Macaca mulatta: one gene and its partners. The protein of the gene in region 2 binds, or shares a complex with, the protein of the main gene of each other region. Links are inferred from orthologs where the notes say so. Each region holds a gene or a part of one and is shown on either strand. Other genes may lie near its edges.

Evidence for each region.
Region 1: PIGF (region 2) and PIGG share a complex: the UniProt entries of both Homo sapiens proteins name them as parts of the ethanolamine phosphate transferase 2 complex. The link is inferred for Macaca mulatta from reciprocal best matches to the Homo sapiens genes PIGF and PIGG.
Region 3: PIGF (region 2) and PIGO share a complex: the UniProt entries of both Homo sapiens proteins name them as parts of the ethanolamine phosphate transferase 3 complex. The link is inferred for Macaca mulatta from reciprocal best matches to the Homo sapiens genes PIGF and PIGO.

The regions. Positions count from the first base shown.
Region 1 is NC_133410.1:562,553-568,738, reverse strand, and holds the start of PIGG (GPI ethanolamine phosphate transferase 2, catalytic subunit), read right to left. Parts: upstream 3,446-6,186; 5' UTR 3,320-3,445; coding exon 3,166-3,319; exon of another isoform or gene 2,928-3,165; intron 2,262-2,927; coding exon 2,056-2,261; intron 1,252-2,055; exon of another isoform or gene 1,181-1,251; intron 1-1,180.
Region 2 is NC_133418.1:78,242,071-78,248,156, reverse strand, and holds part of PIGF (GPI ethanolamine phosphate transferase, stabilizing subunit), read right to left. Parts: intron 4,533-6,086; coding exon 4,424-4,532; intron 1-4,423.
Region 3 is NC_133420.1:64,629,367-64,635,552, reverse strand, and holds the start of PIGO (GPI ethanolamine phosphate transferase 3, catalytic subunit), read right to left. Parts: upstream 3,767-6,186; 5' UTR 3,311-3,766; intron 3,121-3,310; exon of another isoform or gene 3,023-3,120; intron 2,713-3,022; 5' UTR 2,712-2,712; coding exon 2,201-2,711; intron 1,558-2,200; coding exon 1,414-1,557; intron 1,223-1,413; coding exon 1,099-1,222; intron 766-1,098; coding exon 606-765; intron 395-605; coding exon 215-394; intron 1-214.

The DNA of each region.
Region 1 (6,186 bases), on a different chromosome or scaffold from region 2:
CATCACATTGAAATGTGGCAGAGAGAGTAAAACATTCAAGGAAAAAGTCAGTGAGCGATATGGCACTGTGCTTCCTCCAGTCTCAGACTGCTTTCATCCAGCGAACATTCGCTGAGCATCGACAACCCGGGCTGCCCCCAAGCCTTCAATCAGTAAGCAGCTCCTTCTCACCAAGTAACAAGCTGTCACCCCATCAATCACACAGCAAAGGCTCCGTCAGAGACTTTATGCCACACTCACACGCAATACACTCACAAACACAATTCAACCCCTCTGCTCCTTTCTGTCCCCAACTTTATTCATCCTTCCACTCTCAGTTTAAATGCAATTTCCTCAGCCGGGATTTCTCACCCACTAATCACATCCTGTTCCTTCCCATCATGCACTAACCACACTTTACAACTGCATGTTTTCTTTCTTTCTTTTTTGAGACGGAGTCTCGCTCTGTCGCCCAGGCTGGAGTGCAGTGGCCGGATCTCAGCTCACTGCAAGCTCCGCCTCCCGGGTTCACGCCATTCTCCTGCCTCAGCCTCCTGAGTAGCTGGGACTACAGGCGCCCGCCACCTCGCCCGGCTAGTTTTTTTTTTTTTTTTTTTTTTTTTTAGTAGAGACGGGGTTTCACCGTGTTAGCCAGGATGGTCTCGATCTCCTGACCTCGTGATCCGCCCGTCTCGGCCTCCCAAAGTGCTGGGATTACAGGCTTGAGCCACCGCGCGCGGCCTCTTTTTTTTTTTTTGAGATGGAGTCTTGCTCATCGCCAAGGCTGGAGTGTAGTGGCGCAACCTCGGCTCAATGCAAGCTCCGCCTCCCGGGTTCACGCCATTCTCCTGCCTCAGCCTCCTGAGTAGCTGGGACTACAGGCGCCCGCCACCTCGCCCAGCTAATTCTTTTGTATTTTTAGTAGAGACGGGGTTTCACCGTGTTAGCCAGGATGGTCTCGATCTTCTGACCTCGTGATCCACCCGCCTCGGCCTCCCAAAGTGCTGGGATTACAGGCGTGAGCCACCGCGCCCGGCCCAACTGCATGTTTTCATATGCTCCTTTGTTGAGTGACTGTATATCTAAAGACTAAAAGCTACATGAAGGCAGAGATACTATTTTCTCCCCGATTGTATACCCATTAAAATATCACCACATAGTAGTTGCTCAAAAGTTTTCGAGCCAATCAATAAAGGCTTACTTTTTTTCTTTACCCATGGTTCTTGGGAAATGCACTATGTACTTCAAAGCTGCTGTCAGTAGGCTGGACACCTGAAGGATATGGTGGAAACAGTGGTAATTGTTGAGGCAGATCATACTAATTGGATCATTATGTATACTGTTGGATACTTTTGGAGAAGTCACATTTAACTTATCTGGGTTTGCTTTCCTATCTATAAGATCTAGAGACTGAACTAGATCAGCTCTAAAGGCTCCTTCTAAGATTACAAATGACCCAATGGCGATTAAAGAAGAAAGCAGGTTACCAAGAATGGTATATCTTGGGGTAGGTTAGCCTGGGTGATCTTGCTGTAAATCTTTTTTTTTTTTTTTGAGACGGAGTCTCGCTCTGCCGCCCAGGCTGGAGTGCAGTGGCCAGATCTCGGCTCACTGCAAGCTCCGCCTCCCGGGTTCACGCCATTCTCCTGCCTCAGCCTCCCGAGTATCTGGGACTACAGGCGCCCGCCACCTTGCCCGGCTAGTTTTTTGTATTTTTTAGTAGAGACGGGGTTTCACCGTGTCAGCCAGGATGGTCTCGATCTCCTGACCTCATGATCCGCCCGTCTCGGCCTCCCAAAGTGCTGGGATTACAGGCTTGAGCCACCAGGCCCGGCCTATAAATCTTTTATACTTCCCGTGAAGCATGAGTTTTGGCTACTTGACAAGAGGCACAAATCATGGGTCTCAGTTCCGTCCTGTGTGAGGCTCCCTCAGCGTTCTATTGCCCCAGCCAACTGATAGCACAAAATTTCCACTTTCTTAAAATTGCAACTCCAAGCGAAAGACTACAGAGGCCCCCTTTAAATCTTCAAAAGAGCCAAACCATGATTCATTAAAACATTAAGGCCAACTTACCTTGATTCGAGGCATAGTAACTGTAGGTGGCTTTGCTTCAGCCACAAAACTGTGAGATGCTCCTTTTTCCACAAGATAAGTTGTGTAGGGCATAAATTTCACACCCTTTGATCCAAACACAAAATCATCTCTCAAGGCATCTATCAGAACAATAACAACTTTACTGAAGAGAGGTGATGGCAGCGTGGTCCAGTTAGAACTGGCTCCTAAGTGTTTGAAAGAAAAAAAGGAAATTGAACTTTGAACTTTCCTAAGCATTCAAGCACCTCCACAATCTAGCTTCTACCTACTTCTCCAGCACATATCCTGCCATATCTATATAACCCAACCCAAAAGGAGGAGACTTCTACTTGGTAGGTAGTGCTGCCGGGAATGGACGGGGGTTAATAGGAGTAATCTCAGGGACCCACAGTAGTAAGCAGTTAATTATCCTTAGTATAGTGAGGAGTACCAGGGCAGGGGAATCCCTACGTAAGCGTCCTGGGATGGGACATTTAGGGAGCTTGACCTAAAACCCAGAGCTGCAAGAATGGGATGGCTGGGTGTTTATATACTGCGTTTCGCGGTCAGCGGCTGGTGTGTGCACGTGGTCCAGAACCAGGGCTCCTTTACTTGCTGTATATGGCTGGGTAGATGAAGACTAGGAAGGGGCCTAACGCAGAAAGGCCTTAGCCACTAGGCAGGGAAAACACCTTGGAGGAACGTAAGAGACCCAAACGCGAAGGGATCGGCAGGGGTCTTATCTGTAGTGTGCTAGGGGGCAAAAAGGGCGCCTGGAACAGGCAGTGACCCAAAGGCTCCTCAGGAGAGGGGCGGGGGCTCTGGACGAGTAGAGCTGGAGAGGCCGGATCCCAGGTATGGACACAGCTTACTTTGTGGTGATCAGGAAGGAAGGTCGAAGTGGGGCCAGTAGAGGTGGTTGCCACAAAGTTGTAAGAATACAGAAAAGAGACGCTGGAGCGGTTAAAAAAAAAAAAATTCTGGGGTGGGGACCATAACGGGAGACCACCGGGGAGCGCCGAGAAGAAATCCGAGCAGTGACGCTCAGAAAAAGGGTCTTCTAGGGGATGTGGGGTCAGGGGAGCGGAGATGCTGGGGAGGGGTCCGTACCAGCCGAGGGTTCGGGCGCTGGGGGCTCTGCTCCGTGTACCGCCCTCGCAGAGGAACGAACGGGAGCCGGAAAGAATCCCCGAAGGAAGACTGCGATCCCTAGCACCTCGATCGCTACGCAACAGGTAGCGAAAGTCCCGGAGCCCAGCCGCATCGTGGACACGCCAGGCAGGATGCGGAACCGACCCCACCTGGAGCTTCGCCCTGCTGCACCCGCGCTTCCGGCTCCAGGTAGCCGTCTCTAAGCAAGAACGCCAGGCCTTACCGTCGCAGCCACAGTGGCGTCACGTCCGCCGGCGGGCCACAGTGGCGCGTCACTTTCGCCGGCGCGCCAAAGCGGCGTCACGCTGGAAATACGCCCGGCGGGCGGTGATCCAGGCTCTCTGCGGCGGCCTTCCCTGCGAGTCCGCGGTGGGCGCAGCCCACTGCGAGGTACAAGGTTTTAGAATTTTTTCAATTTGGAAAGCCGGGCTCAGTGGCTCACGCCTGTAATCCCAGCACCTTGGGAGGCCGATGCGGGCGGATTCACGAGGTCAAGAGATGGAGACCTTCCTGGCTAACATGGTGAAACTACAAAAAATTAGCCGGGCGCGGTGGCGGGCGCCTGTAGTCCCAGCTACTCAGGAGGCTGAGGCGGGAGAATGGCGTGAACCCAGGAGGTGGAGCTTGCAGTGAGCCCAGATCGGGCCACTGCACTCCAGCCTGGGCGACAGAGCGAGACTCCGCCTCACAAAAAAAAAAAAAAAGTTTATTTGAAAATTTTATTTTTTAATGGACACATTGTAAAGGCACATATTTATGGGCACGATTTGATGTTCAGATAAATATATATTGTTGTCTTAATTTAATTTAGGAGAGCTAAATAATTAAACAGGCCAAAGTACATAAGAAAGCAGCAGCCTTTTATTGCAAATATGCACACACTCTTGGGGTAGGTTCTCCAGTCCTCAGGTATGGGGCCAGAGAAGCCCACCGGCCTCTGCTGGGGAACTTTTATGCATTGATACTGGAAGGGGGAGGGCAGTGGGCGGGATAAGGGCGTGATAGGGGCGTCTCAGTAGGCGTGGGCGGGTAAGTTTGATTTCTTCGGATTGAGGTCACCTGGCCGACGCTCCGTTGCCCTGCACTTTCTGGGCGCGGGAAAGTTGGTGATGAACAACACGGAAGCAATCGGGACTGTGCCATGTTGTTCACCTTCCTCCATTTTGGTCCCTTCTCCCTCACCCAAACAGTCTAACCTCTTATTAATTGTAGGAATTTGGGGCGCCATTGTCAGTCTGGCTGCTTCCTGCTGTTAAGGGGCGTAGTTAGGGTCTGAGGTTGGCAGTTGGGTGTAGGGATGCAGGAGCATTTGGTTGAAGGTGACTGGGTGATTTCTTGGACCCTAGCTCGGAGAAATTTTATTAGAATGGGAGCAAAGCATAACATAAGACAGAGGATTAGTATGGGAATTAGGAATGGAAGCATCTGCTGTACTACAGGCAGCAGTGATACCAACAATTTAAGGGGGCATTAAATTGTTGAAGCTCCTTTTTGATTTTGTTTAACGTTTGGACGTTGGTGTCAACCAGGCCTAATCCATTTATGTAGTAGCAACACTCCTCTCCTAGGGAGAGGCATGCTCCTCCTTTTTCACCAGTAAGAAGATCTAATGCCCGCCTATTTTGTGCTGCTACCTGGGCTACTGAGGTGATTTGACGTTGTAAAGAGGCTAGGCTTTCAGCTGAAGCCTCTATGGCTGCTTGGACCTGAGTGGAGAGGGTCTGTGTGGATTGAATCGAGTGGGTGAGGGCCCCTGTTCCAAGTCCTGAGGCTACTAGGGACGATGCTAGGGAAACCCCGATAACTAAGGGAAGAAAAATGGCCCGTTTTTGGATTTTATTGCTGGAAGTGGTAAGCTGGGAAGCTAGCTCGGACAATTCTCCTTCGCCATATAGGGTTAAAGTAGGCACTAAAGACACCGGAACACAAAGGGATTGGGTGATGGAGGTGTGGTTAAGAGTTTTAGATAAGGCCAGGCGCGGTGGCTCAAGCCTGTAATCCCAGCACTTTGGGAGGCCGAGACAGGCGAATCACGAGGTCAGGAGATCGAGACCATCCTGGCTAACACGGTGAAACCCCTCTCTACTAAAAAATACAAAAAACTGGCCGGGCGAAGTGGCGGGCGCCTGTAGTCCCAGCTACTCGGGAGGCTGAGGCAGGAGAATGGCTAAACCCGGGAGGCGGAGCTTGCAGTGAGCTGAGATCCGGCCACTGTACTCCAGCCTGGGCGACAGAGCGAGACTCCGTCTCAAAAAAAATAAAAAATAAAAAATAAAAGAGTTTTAGATAAAGTTTGGTCACACCAGAAGTAGCCGCCAACAGGAGCCATCTGGGTCCCGCTGGGAGCTTGGGTATGATTACACCACGAAGGGTTGGGAGTAGAGTAGCAGAAAGGAAGGGTTTGACTTTCTGGATCATGGTATAATGAGACTTGAGGTAAGGATGTTGCTTGAGAGGAGCTGGTAGGGTTGGTGGTGATATTGAAAGCGGCTGGTAGAGGGACCGCCACTAAGGGAGGTTTCCCGAGTGCAGCGCAGAGGAAGCAGTGGGAGAGGTTTTTCAGTCCAACTGCCTGTGTCAAGTTAAGTCCGTGGCGAATAAGTGTCAACCATGAGAATGGGTCCTCATTGTTAGGGGGTAATGGGTCCTCATTGTTAAGGGGGCTTAACTGTTTTTGTAGTTTTTGTTCATGAGATTTTATGGCTGAGGTTAAATTTTGTAAATTTTGTAGGGCCTGTACACCTTTAGGGAGATGTACTTGCTGTACGTATACTCTCTACCTGGATGATTGTGGTGGGATATGAGGAAACAGATGATGCATATAGTCCACCTTTAACTCCCTGGGCCCACCAGGGGTCCCAGGGATCCTTAATATGAAGAGTATATTTGCCTGATGTTAAATTTCTTGTAAAAGGTCGATCTTTGGGGGTACAATAACCATTCTCACACAGTGGGGCCAACTCATGGATGTTGCAATAG
Region 2 (6,086 bases):
GATTAAGTTACTCGTATGACAGGGCCAAGCCCCATGCGGGGTACATGGAGAGATCTACAAATGCTACATTTTCTTTCTACTGTCATCTGAAATGTCAGACAGGATTGAAAATTATGTGAAATCCAAATACCCTAAGTTGGTATAACGAAATACCAGAGAAACAGATAAATTAATAGTCCACTCCCACCAACTGAAAGACTGCTGGGCAGAAAAAATAAAACAAACTGAGACAATTAGCATATTCTCTAATAGATGAGAACTCAAATAAATAATGGAATTTGCACTATTGAAGGCTAAAAATATAGTCATTAAACTATTTCTTTATAGTCACTAAACTATTTCTTTTCTAATGTTACAGGCTCACAAATGCCTGTAACATTAATTAAGTAATAACCACATGTCAGGTGCTGAGCTAGATATTTTGGAGGGATTTTATTATTTCATCCTCACTAGCAAGTGACAGAGCCAGGATTTCAACCCAGTAATCTGATGCCAGAACTCCTAATCATCATGTTACCTGCCTACCCATTAATAAAACACGTGAGTTTAAAAACCTCATGGTCAATTTCCTGTGCTCAGAATAACTAACAATATTTGTTAACCTTCCACTAATTTTTTTAAAACATGAAATACTAGCCATGTTTTGATAAGACATTTTCCAGATAAAAACCTCATAGCTACATATTTTATGAAATATTTACAGCATATTAAATCTAAATCGCAGTCCAAATCTGAATTATTAAATAATTAAATTCCAGTCCTGGGTGTATTTAAGTGTCTGTTGTACTTACTCACACAGAACGTATGCCTTGCATACAGTGATAACAACGAATACTTACTTATTAGCTATTTAGTTACAGCAGATAAAGAATCAAATTATAAAATACAAAGGTTTTCTGTAGTCCAAATATTTATTTTGTCAGCAACTATAAGCTTTCTCCAGAAGTTGAAAAAGGCTATCTGGATTATGGGAAATTCAAATATTTGTTTTCTTGCTGAGATTTTAAGGCAAATAATTAAGGGAGAGGCAAGAAGGTACTTTCAAATATTAAAACAACAACAAAGATGACCAACAGTATAATGGGTAGCTACCCTACCATATTCTCTTTAACCACGTCCCCTTGCTGCCTTCCACAAAAGAAAAGCTTCCTCCAACTATAAAGATGCCTAATTTTTCATCACTTGCCATTATTTAAAATCACGTAAGATTTATATTAAGTTACAAAACTTTTTCATTGAGATCACATATTTTCAGTGGGCCTTTCCAATCATTTAAGAAATTATTTTAAACATAAAAATATGCTTGAAACAGCTCATTACAGAATCCACATTACTGTAATCTTATGGTTGGCCTCACGAATGTTATACAATGATTTGAGTTCAAAGTAAAGAAAACTGAAGTAAAACATGTAGTAGATTTTGTGGGGTTTTGTGTGTGTGTGCATGTGTACGTTTTTAAAGGTATAATTGCTTAACCAGACATTCCTGTTTCGCTGACTGGAATATAAATAAAACCAGAACACAATCCAGAAAAGCTTGCTTTACCACAAACAGATCAAATCTGTACTGGGCTACAAGGAACACAGAACAAGAATCTCTTCTTAATACATGTTCTATTTTAGATAATAAAGTGTATTACTGTATTGTCTTCTCATGAAATTTTGCTCTAACAACATCTCCACTTTTAGGAAATGCCATATTCCCTTATCTGATTTATTGCTTCTCTGGGAGATTCTGTTCTGTGGAGTTAGAATTATTAAAAAATAACAATAACAAAAAACAAGCAACCTTGTTTGCTGGAAATAAAAAGTGAAAAAAAAAAAAAGAAACCTCATTTCTTTAGTTTATTAGTAAATAACTGCAAAAAGGGCAAGGGGCAGATGAGTGCTATGCGAATAAAAGATTTTTAATTATACATCAATTCTATCATTCCCTCAATAATACATTTCATAATTTAAAAGGTTTACAGTGAATGTGTGGGTCATTAACTTGGAATATTCTAAAAACCATCCAGTAGTAAAGATAATTACACAGCCAGTAATATTCCAGCTGAATGAAACGCTCTAAATGGAAACCAACACTCGTTATGTATTTAAATTAGTTTTAAAATTAAATTAGATTTCCAGCTAGCTAGAAAATCTTTTTAAAAAGTCGGTAATTCAAATGGAAACTTTATATTAATTTAAAAAGTAATACCATCAATTTGGATCTAGTTCATCCTTATTGTTAACAAGCACTGAGGCAGAAAAATGAGTCATCAGCTAAAAGTCTGAACAATCCCAAAATGGGTGATTGAACTGTAAATAACTAAGATATATATTTTCTAAGCAAACCTAAACACATATTTTATAAAGCATACATATTCCCCTTAGTTCAGTTTCTACTTCTGCACTGTCTTGTAAACAGAAAAGACTTAAATTACATGTAACATATCAAACCTTTACACTCTAAAGTATTGCGTCTATATACAAAATGATACATTTATTATATATTATCTTACCAACTCATTAAAGCTGATGTCCCATAGTGCTTTATCAATATTTTCTATTTAGATTTAATTGCATTACTTGAAAGTAAGGAATCTAACCACTTTCAAACAATTTTCTGTGTATACTTTTCAATGATTTTGATTGTCCTCCAATTTAGAAATCACTGACACTCTGTTGAATTGATATTAAGTATGGATGACTTCTACAAGATGTCAACAACTTAAGAAACCTTTACTAGCACCAAAAACTTGGGATGAGTATCTGTGATGATACACACCCCAAACCTCCAAGGATTTCTCTAATACAGTGATGAAGAGTTAAAACAGGCAAGGGCAAACCTACCAGACTTACTAAACATGAAAGAACAATTTGACTTTCAGGGAGACACAACATCTAACTGAAAGCACAAAGAATGGAGTTAAGGTAGGCAGTTATGTGCAAGGCACACAATCTGGATCCCACATTTGGCAAATGAGGTATGTATCAAAGATTTACTTCATCAATTCATTACCTAGGACTTTACACTACAGAGAAAATTGGACAAATATTCAAAGATGTATGTTTAATATGATAACCATATTTGATAAAATATTAATAATAATGAAATAGGAAATAACCTAAATGTTCTTTAATTAAAAACTGGTACAGTATTTTACACAAATAATCGAATATTACATATATGTAAGTTTTCATTGACATAGAATGAGCTCCATAATATACTGCTGAGGGGAAAAAGCAGATTAAAAATAACATGAATATTATAGTTACAGGCATGGAGAGAGACAGCTGCAAAAATTATCACCAAAAGCAAATGGAGGTTTCCTCTGGGTGGTTGGGGAGGAAAGTAATTTTTACTTTCTTCCTTAGAATTACTAATATTGCTTAAATTTTCTAAATAAATATACATTATCTTTGTGATCAGAAAAAAATTCTCTTCATGTTGGAAAAAGAAAGCACATTTATTTTTTAACACCATAATTCTTTTTGGGAGTAATTATGGAAATAATTATAAAAATTCATGAAGCTATAGATTCAAAGATTTTATCACAGCAGTGTTTATTATCATAAAATACTGGCAATAATCTAAATGATCAATAGTGTATTTGTTAAATAAGTTATAAGTAACTATATAATGGCATACTACAAGGTCATTAATATTAAGATAAGGATACAGTCATCACTGTAAGTTCAGTGACCTTGGGAATGTTACATACCCTCTAGGTGTCAGTTTCCTCATCTGTAAAATGGGTATAAAAAGAGCCCTTACCTTACAGTGCTTTACCTAGCATATCAGCTTTATCTTATGGTGATACAAGATGAAAAATTTGATGTTTGTGAGCTGTCTTGATAACACAGGCCGCTGCTGCAAAAATTACCTTGCTATCTGCTTCTAAAAATTTCAAGATGAACATTCAATTTGGCCATCAATCAAGTTCAGAAAATGTGAATATAAGACCACAAGGGCAATAAATACCAAAGTTGAAAATAGGACATTTCTGCAACTATTAACCTAATTTTTAAAAATTCCTATACTGGCTGGGCTCAGTGGCACACACCTGTAGTCCCAGCCACTTGGGAGGCTGAGGCAGGAGGCTCGTTTAGGCCCAAGCACTGGAGGCCAGCCTGGGCAAGAGAGTGAGAACCTGTTTATTTTTAAAAACAATAAACTGCCTATATACAATCACAAAATAAGCTTGTTTATTCATCTATACATGTGCAAAAAACAGTGCTAGAAGATAAAACCAGGGCTACCTAGACGCCTTTGGCACTGGGACAGTCCCTATTAAGTTGCCCAGATTACGATGACTGATAGAATTGGTATCCTTACTTAATTGAACAACAGAACAATTTACATACACATACTAGTTTGCTTCATCAGTTTTACTATCATTGTACAAACATTTATTTTGTTGCTTTAAGTAACTGAAACCAACCTGCCATGGTCTTTCCCAATCCAGCGGAATAGGAAGTGCTCCAAGCCATGCTCCTACAAAACTAGAAATTGTAGTCATCTGGAGACTATTCTCCCATATGGATGAAACTCTGTGAAGCACAAATTGGTACATCATTGATGGTACATACATTAGCTGCTGCAGAATCCAACAAGCACTAGCACACATTATCAGTATACATATATTTTCTGTAATTTAAAATGAAAATCTCACTGACATATAAATATTTACCATGAACTATTAATAGTTAATTGGTAAGAAGATATAAATGTTTTCCATCGGAAAGGTAATATACAGATGTAGTAGGAGTCAAACCATGCTAAAGAGCATTTGTAGAAACAGCTAAGTCCTCCACCCCTATCAACTCCTGGTTCCTTTCCCCACAGGCAACTGCTATTACCAAATTATTACATATTCTTCCAGAAATATTTTATACATGCACAAATACACACATAATTTTGTTTTGAAGGATATATGTATATTTGCATAAATACACATGTACATATGTATATTTCTTCAAAACAAAACTCAGATGCATCACGTTATAAACCGAATTTTGCTTGTTTTTCCTTGGTAACAGTTGTAGTAGTATTCCATTGTATGGATGGTGCATCATTTATTCAACCAGTCTTTCTTTTTTTTTTTTTGAGATGGAATCTCTGTTGCCCAGGCTGGAGTGTAATGGAGTGATCTCAGCTCACTGCAACCTCCGCCTCCCAGGTTCAAGCAATTCTCCTGCCTCAGACTCCTGAGTAGCTGGGATTACAGGTGTGCACCACCACGCCCGCCTAATTTTTGTATTTTTGGTAGAGTTGGGGATTCATTATGTTGGCCAGGCTGGTCTCGAACTCCTAACTTCGTGATCCGCCCACCTCAGCCTCCCAAAGTGTTGGGATTACAGGCATGAGCCACTGCACCTGGCCTCAGCTAGTCTTTCTTACATCACATTTCATTTATACAAACCAATTCAATTTACTCGGCAAGAAAAAGGCAGAGAACAAGAACAAAATATTTCAAAAGATCTGGTGATTTTGCCTACCATTCCTATATACTAAGTGCACATCGGAGAGTGTAAAGGTGGAAAGACTTAATTCTGCCATTCTCTTAGTAGGTGTTAGTTTCAGCCTGGCCCTCATAGTGTGAACTATATATACATAGTGTGAACTGTAACCAGACAGTTCTGGTTACAGTCAGGTAAAAGTCCACTGCAATGCATTAAGTAGGGTCCAAATATTCAATTGTTTAAATTGCAAGGTGAAGCTACTGTGAAGTTAATGAAAAGTAGCCTCTTCTAGATAGTATGGGGGAAAACATTTGTTTTGTTAGATGATTTATTTAATTAGAAACAGGCCAATTATTACACGCAAAATGTACACTGAATTTTAAAAGTCGCAAATGATGACAAGTCAGTTCACAAACCAATCCCTCTATCATCCATCCATCTCATACTCCCCAACTACACAAGATAAGAACCTTAGCTTGTTTCCATTGAAGCAGGGCTAAGAACAGGCTGGAGCCAATCACATATATCCAGATTTGTACTATTTTTAGGGCTTTATTGTTCTTTTTTATTTCATATAACACCTGTAAGTCAGCTTTTTCAACTAGCATTCAATAGAACAGAGATCTGTTCCAATGTTGGAAG
Region 3 (6,186 bases), on a different chromosome or scaffold from region 2:
ATTGGGGCAGAGGCAAGAACAGGTATTACAAAAGGGGGTACGTGGAAGTCAAAGACCCAAACTTTGCCCAGGATGGGGGAAGGGAGGGATAATAGAAGAGGGATAGGTATGGAAGGTGGGACTAAGACTAGTCAAAGGACAATAGAGTGGTTCATTATGCTTCTTTCATGCCCACCCTCGCTCTGTCACCTGGACACCCAGCCCACTTACCTACCTGCTGAGCATTGAGATGGAGAGCTGAGGCTTGGGCTAAAGCAGAGGAGTGGGGCTGGGAGTCCTCACCCCCTGAGAATAGCTCAGCCATCACTTCCCCAATGTTTCCAAATGGGATGGGCAGGCCCAGCAGCAGGGCCAGTGTGGGCACAAGGCTAACTTGAGGAATCACCTCTGGCTCCTAAAGGGAAATGACAGTGGTCGACAGATTCATTATAAAGCTGAAGTCAATGTTTGGGATGGGAGACATAGGGGCCTAGGTAAGAAATGAGAGTGGAGGATACCCAGGATAATGGATTTGGGGGCCTATAATAGAGGTATTCATGAGGATGCTGTGATGGTAACATGGGCTGATTACTGGGAGAACAGATGAGGAACATCCCAGGCCTCACCTCTGGTGGGGTGCTGGGGAAGAGTGCTGTGGGGCTATACAGAAAGAGTGCAGCTGAGACCTCCAGCTCACTGTCCCCTCCATGGTCTCCATTTGTGGTCATCCCATGGTCCCCAGCCACTACCAGCAGTGTGTCATTCTCCAGACGCTCCACAAGTCCCCTGGGGGCCAAGAAATGTGTCAGGAGTAGAAACAAATAAATATTTTCCTCAAAAAGAAAAAAGATTTTTCTCAGGGGCCTGTTCATCCCCAGCTATAACTCCATTAGTAAGGCCTAGACCTTTGGCAAAGAGACAGGTCTTCAGCCATGATCCTGATGCACAAAGCTACACATTGAGTTAATCAAGATGGATGGGGCCTCTAGCTTTAGCAGAAGGCCTAGAGAAGACAGAATTCAGCCAGGAAAGAAGCTCTAAGAGCTTCTTCTCCTGGGACCACATATCCTGAGATTCTCAGATACAAACCCACTCCCCCAGCCAATGCCCCACACTCACTGGATGACCTGGTCCATCTGGCTAAGTTTCTTGGCCATTTCAGGGTGGTGAGGGCCATGCTTGTGGCCACAGTGGTCCACACCCAGGAAGTGAGCAATCAGCACGTCCCATTCACCACTGTCCACTGTGAAGGGGAGAACAATGAGCACAGAAGACTAAGACCCACTCCTCAACCCCAGCCAGGCTTTGACACTCCTCTATGTCCAGGGATACAAGCCCAGGCTGTTACACCCATTGGAGGCTCGGAATTTGTGGACTAAAGCAGTCCTCCCCAGCTCCCAGTCTTAGAACTACGTGCTCTGGCCCCATGCTCACTGGTGGGGTAGAGCTGTTCCAGGATGCCATTGTCCACTGTGTCTAGGTCTCTGACATTGAAGGATGGGAAGAAGAAAGCTTTGGAGAAAGCACCAGGGAAAAGGTCTTTCCAGGTATCATCTCCCATGAAGACTACACGCCTTCCTGCAGGGACATGAAAGAGAGGTCAGAGCCTGAGCAAACGTCAGGGTCAGGAGAAAACAGGAAAAGAGGCCCTTGAAAGACCCATCAGAAGTTCCAAACATGTAACCTAAGAAGTACAGCAATTCCATACAGCAATCTTTATCCTTCAGGGCCTAACATTTTCCACCAGGAAGCTTTCCCTGATAACCATACTCCACCCAGACCTCACACTTACCCTTCCTACAAAATGCTCTGCTAGTTCTGTATCTGGGTATCTCTACTGATTTGTTTTTCCTGGGTGTATCCTGCTTCTTCCAAGCCAATGAATGAACAGGGCCTGTATTTCTCTGCTTTCTTCTCCACACTTGTAAGCCAAGATCCACATCTTCTCTTCTTCCCTTCTCCCTTTTACTGAGAGGTCCCCAAGAATAAAACTTGCACTCCATTCAGATTAGAAGCTTCATAGGACCAAAGCCCAGATCCCTTTTCCTCTGTCCCCCAAACTGAGCTCCCCACAAGCAGGGCCCTGGCCTCTTTCTTCTCCTCTGTTCCCCTACACCATAGTCATGTGTGCATCTGGGCACCCAAAGGTCTGACTCCCTGACTTCGAATTTTGAAGAAATTTGCCAGGGTACTTCTGGCCTTCAAAGTGGCCCACACTGACCTGCACTGGTGAGCTGCTTAATGAGATTGTCTTCCACTATGGCGTGGCTGGCAAAGTTACTACCAGCATCAATAAAGGTAGGCAGTGAGCCAGTGGTGAGGGCCTTGAGGCGCTGCATGGTGGTGGTAGGAGGGTCAACCTGAGATCGGTAGAGCCGGGCATGGTGGGGCTGAATCTCCAGGATCCTCTGCAAGGAGCTTAGTTTGCCCAGGAAGGGTAGGGAGACAGGAGGCTCTCCAGGCACATGTGAGTGCTGGGGCTGGGCGAAGTCAAATCGCAGAGCATCTACTAGCACCAACACAACCCGCGAAAATCGGGAAGCCATCCAGCAGGCCCCAGGTTTCCCTTGGCTCCCCCATGGCAGGGACCCAGGGCCTGGGGGCTCTTGGCAGCTGCTATAGTTGGTGAGCTCCAAACGGGTGAGCAGGAAGCCACTGGTGAAGAGGGCAATGCCAGCGTAGAAGACGAAGCAGACCCAGGCCAGGAAGAGCAGCACTGAGGCTTTCTGCATCCTGATAGGGGTGGGGAAGGAAATTCATTACTGTGGGGCAAAGAACCAGTGGATATTCTAGTCCCTGAATACAAGCCCAGCTAGAATCACTTCCTCCCAGACTTTCCTGGAGATAAACTGTCCCATAGCCAACCCCTCGCAATATTACTCTCCCGCTATTTCCAGGCTGGGCATGGTGGCTCACGCCTGTAATCCCAGCACTTTGGGAGGCAGAGGCGGGCGGATCACCTGAGGTCAGGAGTTCGAGACCAGCCTGGCCAACATGGTGAAACCCCGTCCCTACTAAAAATACAAAAATTGGTGGCGGGCACCTGTAGTCCCAGCTATAGGGGAGGCTGAGGCAGGACAATTGTTTGAATCGGGGAGGCGGAGGTTGCAGTGAGCAGAGACTGCGCCACTGCACTCTAGCCTGGACAACAGAGGGAGACGCCGTCTCAGAAAAATAAAAAAGCTATTTCGAGGCCCCACCCCAGATCTACTGAATCAGGATCTTCGAGGGGTAGAGCATAGGAATGTTCACATGTACACGCAGGAAATGCTAATGCTGAAAACACAGTCACGAGGGAAAGTTATTCCAATTGGTAGCCAGGCTCTCCTACAGGCCGTTTCTGCACCTCTCCCCTCGCCAATCTCAACACCCACTAGGGTGGAAAGGGATCAAAGCCGCAGGGAAACCCGGGCCCAGCCAACGACGCCGCCTGGCGGGCACCGAGGGGACGAAGGGGAGGAGTCACGCTCCGCTTCCGGGAGGCTAGGTTCGCCAGGAGACCTGAAGCATGACCTTCGCCACGCAACGAGGCTGGGGCGCGGGTCGAGAGTCGGTTGGGCCTCGCTGGAACCCAGGCGTGCGACCGGCTCTGCCTCCTCCGGTAGCTACCCAGCCTCCCGCTGGGCACCCTAGCCGCGGTACTGACCACCCTTGGTTGGGAGCTAAGGGAAAGAGGAAGACTCCCTTGTTTCAGGGTGAGGGGACTACGTGGGGTTGAGGTTCTCGGCAGACCCTGGCTCACCTGCAATGGCACCCGGAAGTCCGGCGGCGGCGGTGCCTGCGGCCTGGCACCACAGAGAAGCGCGCGCCAGAGAGGCCCGCCAGTGGCTCCATCGCCATCTGCCGGCATCTCGGTGGAAGTTTGGCCAGGAGCGTGGGGCTGGCCAGAGAGTTTGATGGGAGATTTAATAATTGAAAATTGGGAACAGGGGACCAAGCCGGAGAGTTCACGGAACCACTGTCCATTCATGGTTACGACTAAGAGCACGGCTGCTGGAGTCAAACTTGACTTGAATCCTAGCTCGGCCGCACATATTGTCATTATTAGGCATTACCTCATCTGTAAAATGGAGATAATACTTATTTTTCCCTTTTTGCTTAGCTAAGTCCAACTGAGATTTCATTCTCCTCTCAAAGCCTCTGAATCTTACAACTGGATAATTAAGCAAATAATCCTTCGGAGTGGAGGAGGGGAGGCTGGGCGCCAGTGGCTTACACCTGTAATCCCAGCAATTTGGAAGGCCAAGGCAGGTGGATCACCTAAGGTCAGGAGTTCGAGACCAGCCCAACCAACATGACGAAACACCGTCTCTACTGAAAATACAAAAGTTACCCGGGCGTGGTGGCAGGCGCCTGTGATCCCAGCTACCTGGGAGGCTGAGGCAGGAGAATCACTCGACCCCGGGAGGCAGAGGTTGCAGTGAGCGGAGATTGCACCACTGCATTCCAGCCTCAGCGACAAAGTGAGACCTTGTCTCAAAAAAAAAAAAAAAAAAAAAAAATGAGTGGAGGAGGGAAAAACAATCCAATTAATGGGCAAAGGATTTGACTAGACATTTCTCCAAAGAAAATATACAAATAGCCAATAGACACATGGAGAGAGGCTTATTATAAGCCATCAGGAAATGCTGGAGATACTGCTTTGAACCCACCAGTATGGCTATAATCAACAAGTGTTGACAATGAGAAGGAGGAATTGGAACCCTCATACACTGCTGGTGGATTGTAAAAACAGATAATTCAAAACGATAAACATAATTATCAAATGACCTAACAATTTCAGTCCTAGGTATAAACCCAAGAGGAATTAATACTTATGTCCAAACAAAAACTTGTACATGAATGTTCATAGTAGCCTTATTCGTGGCTGGGTAAATGGCTCACACCTGTTATCCCAGCACAAAATTTACCCAGGTGTGCTGGCATGTGCCTGTAGTACCAGCTACTCAGGAGGCTGAGGTGGGAGGATCACCTGAGCCTGGGGAGGTCAAGGCTGCAGCGAGCTGTGATCTCACCACTGCACTCCAACCTGGGTGACAGAGTGAGACCCTGTCTCAAAAAATAAATAAATAAAATAGTAGCCTTATAATAACCAAAAGGTGGAAACCCAAATGTCCATTACTGACAAATGGAAAAATAAAAAATGGTGTATTCATACAATGGAATATTGTGGAGGGGGGCTGTGAAGCAGTCTAAAATTAAAATCATGGTGGTAGCACAATTCTGTGAATATACTAAAGGTTACTACGTTTATATTTTAAATGAATGAGTTGTATGATGTGTGAGTTATATCTCGAACTCCTGGGCTCAACCTTCCAGACTCAGCCTCCCAAAGTGCTGGGATTACAGGCATGAGCCACCATGCCCAGCCTGATGTGTGAATATTTCAATAAACCCACTATTAAAAAACAAAACGGACTCCCAGCACTTTGGGAGGCCAAAGCAGGTAGATCCCCTGAGTCCAGCAGTTCAGGACCAGTCAGGCCAAAGTAGTGAAATACCATCTCTATAAAAAAATACAAAATTTAGGTGGACATGGTGGCAGGAGCCTGTAGTTCCAGCTACACCAGAGGCTGAGATGGATGATGGCTTAATCTGGGAGGTAGAGACTACAGTGAGCCTTGATCAGGCCACTGTACTCCAGTCTGGGCACCAGAGTGAGGCCCTGTCTTAAAAGGCCAGCCAGGCACAGTGGCTCATGCCTATAATCCCAGCACTTTGGGAGGCCGAGGTGGGCAGATCACCTGAGGTCAGGAGTTCAAGACCAGCCTGGTCAACATGATGAAAACCCGTCTCTACTAAAAATACAAAAATTAGCTGGGCATGGTGGCGGATGCCTATAATCCCAACTACTCAGGAGTTTGAGGCAGGAGAATCACTTGAACCTAGGAGGCGGAGGTTGCAGTGAGCCAAGATTGTGCCACTACACTCCACCCTGGGCAACAGAGCAAGACTCCCTCTCAAAAAAAAAAAAAAAAAAAAAAAAAAAAAAGCCAGGCACGATGACTCACACCTGCAAGCCCAGCACTTTGGGAGACTGAGGCTGGAGAATCAGTTGAAGTCAGGGATTGGAGATCAGCCTGACCAACATGGTAAAACCCCAACTCTACTAAAAATTACAAAAATTTAGCCAGGTGTGGTGGTATGTACCTGTAGTCCCAGCTACTCAGGAGGCTGAGGCAGAATTGCTTGAAGCCAGGAGGCAGG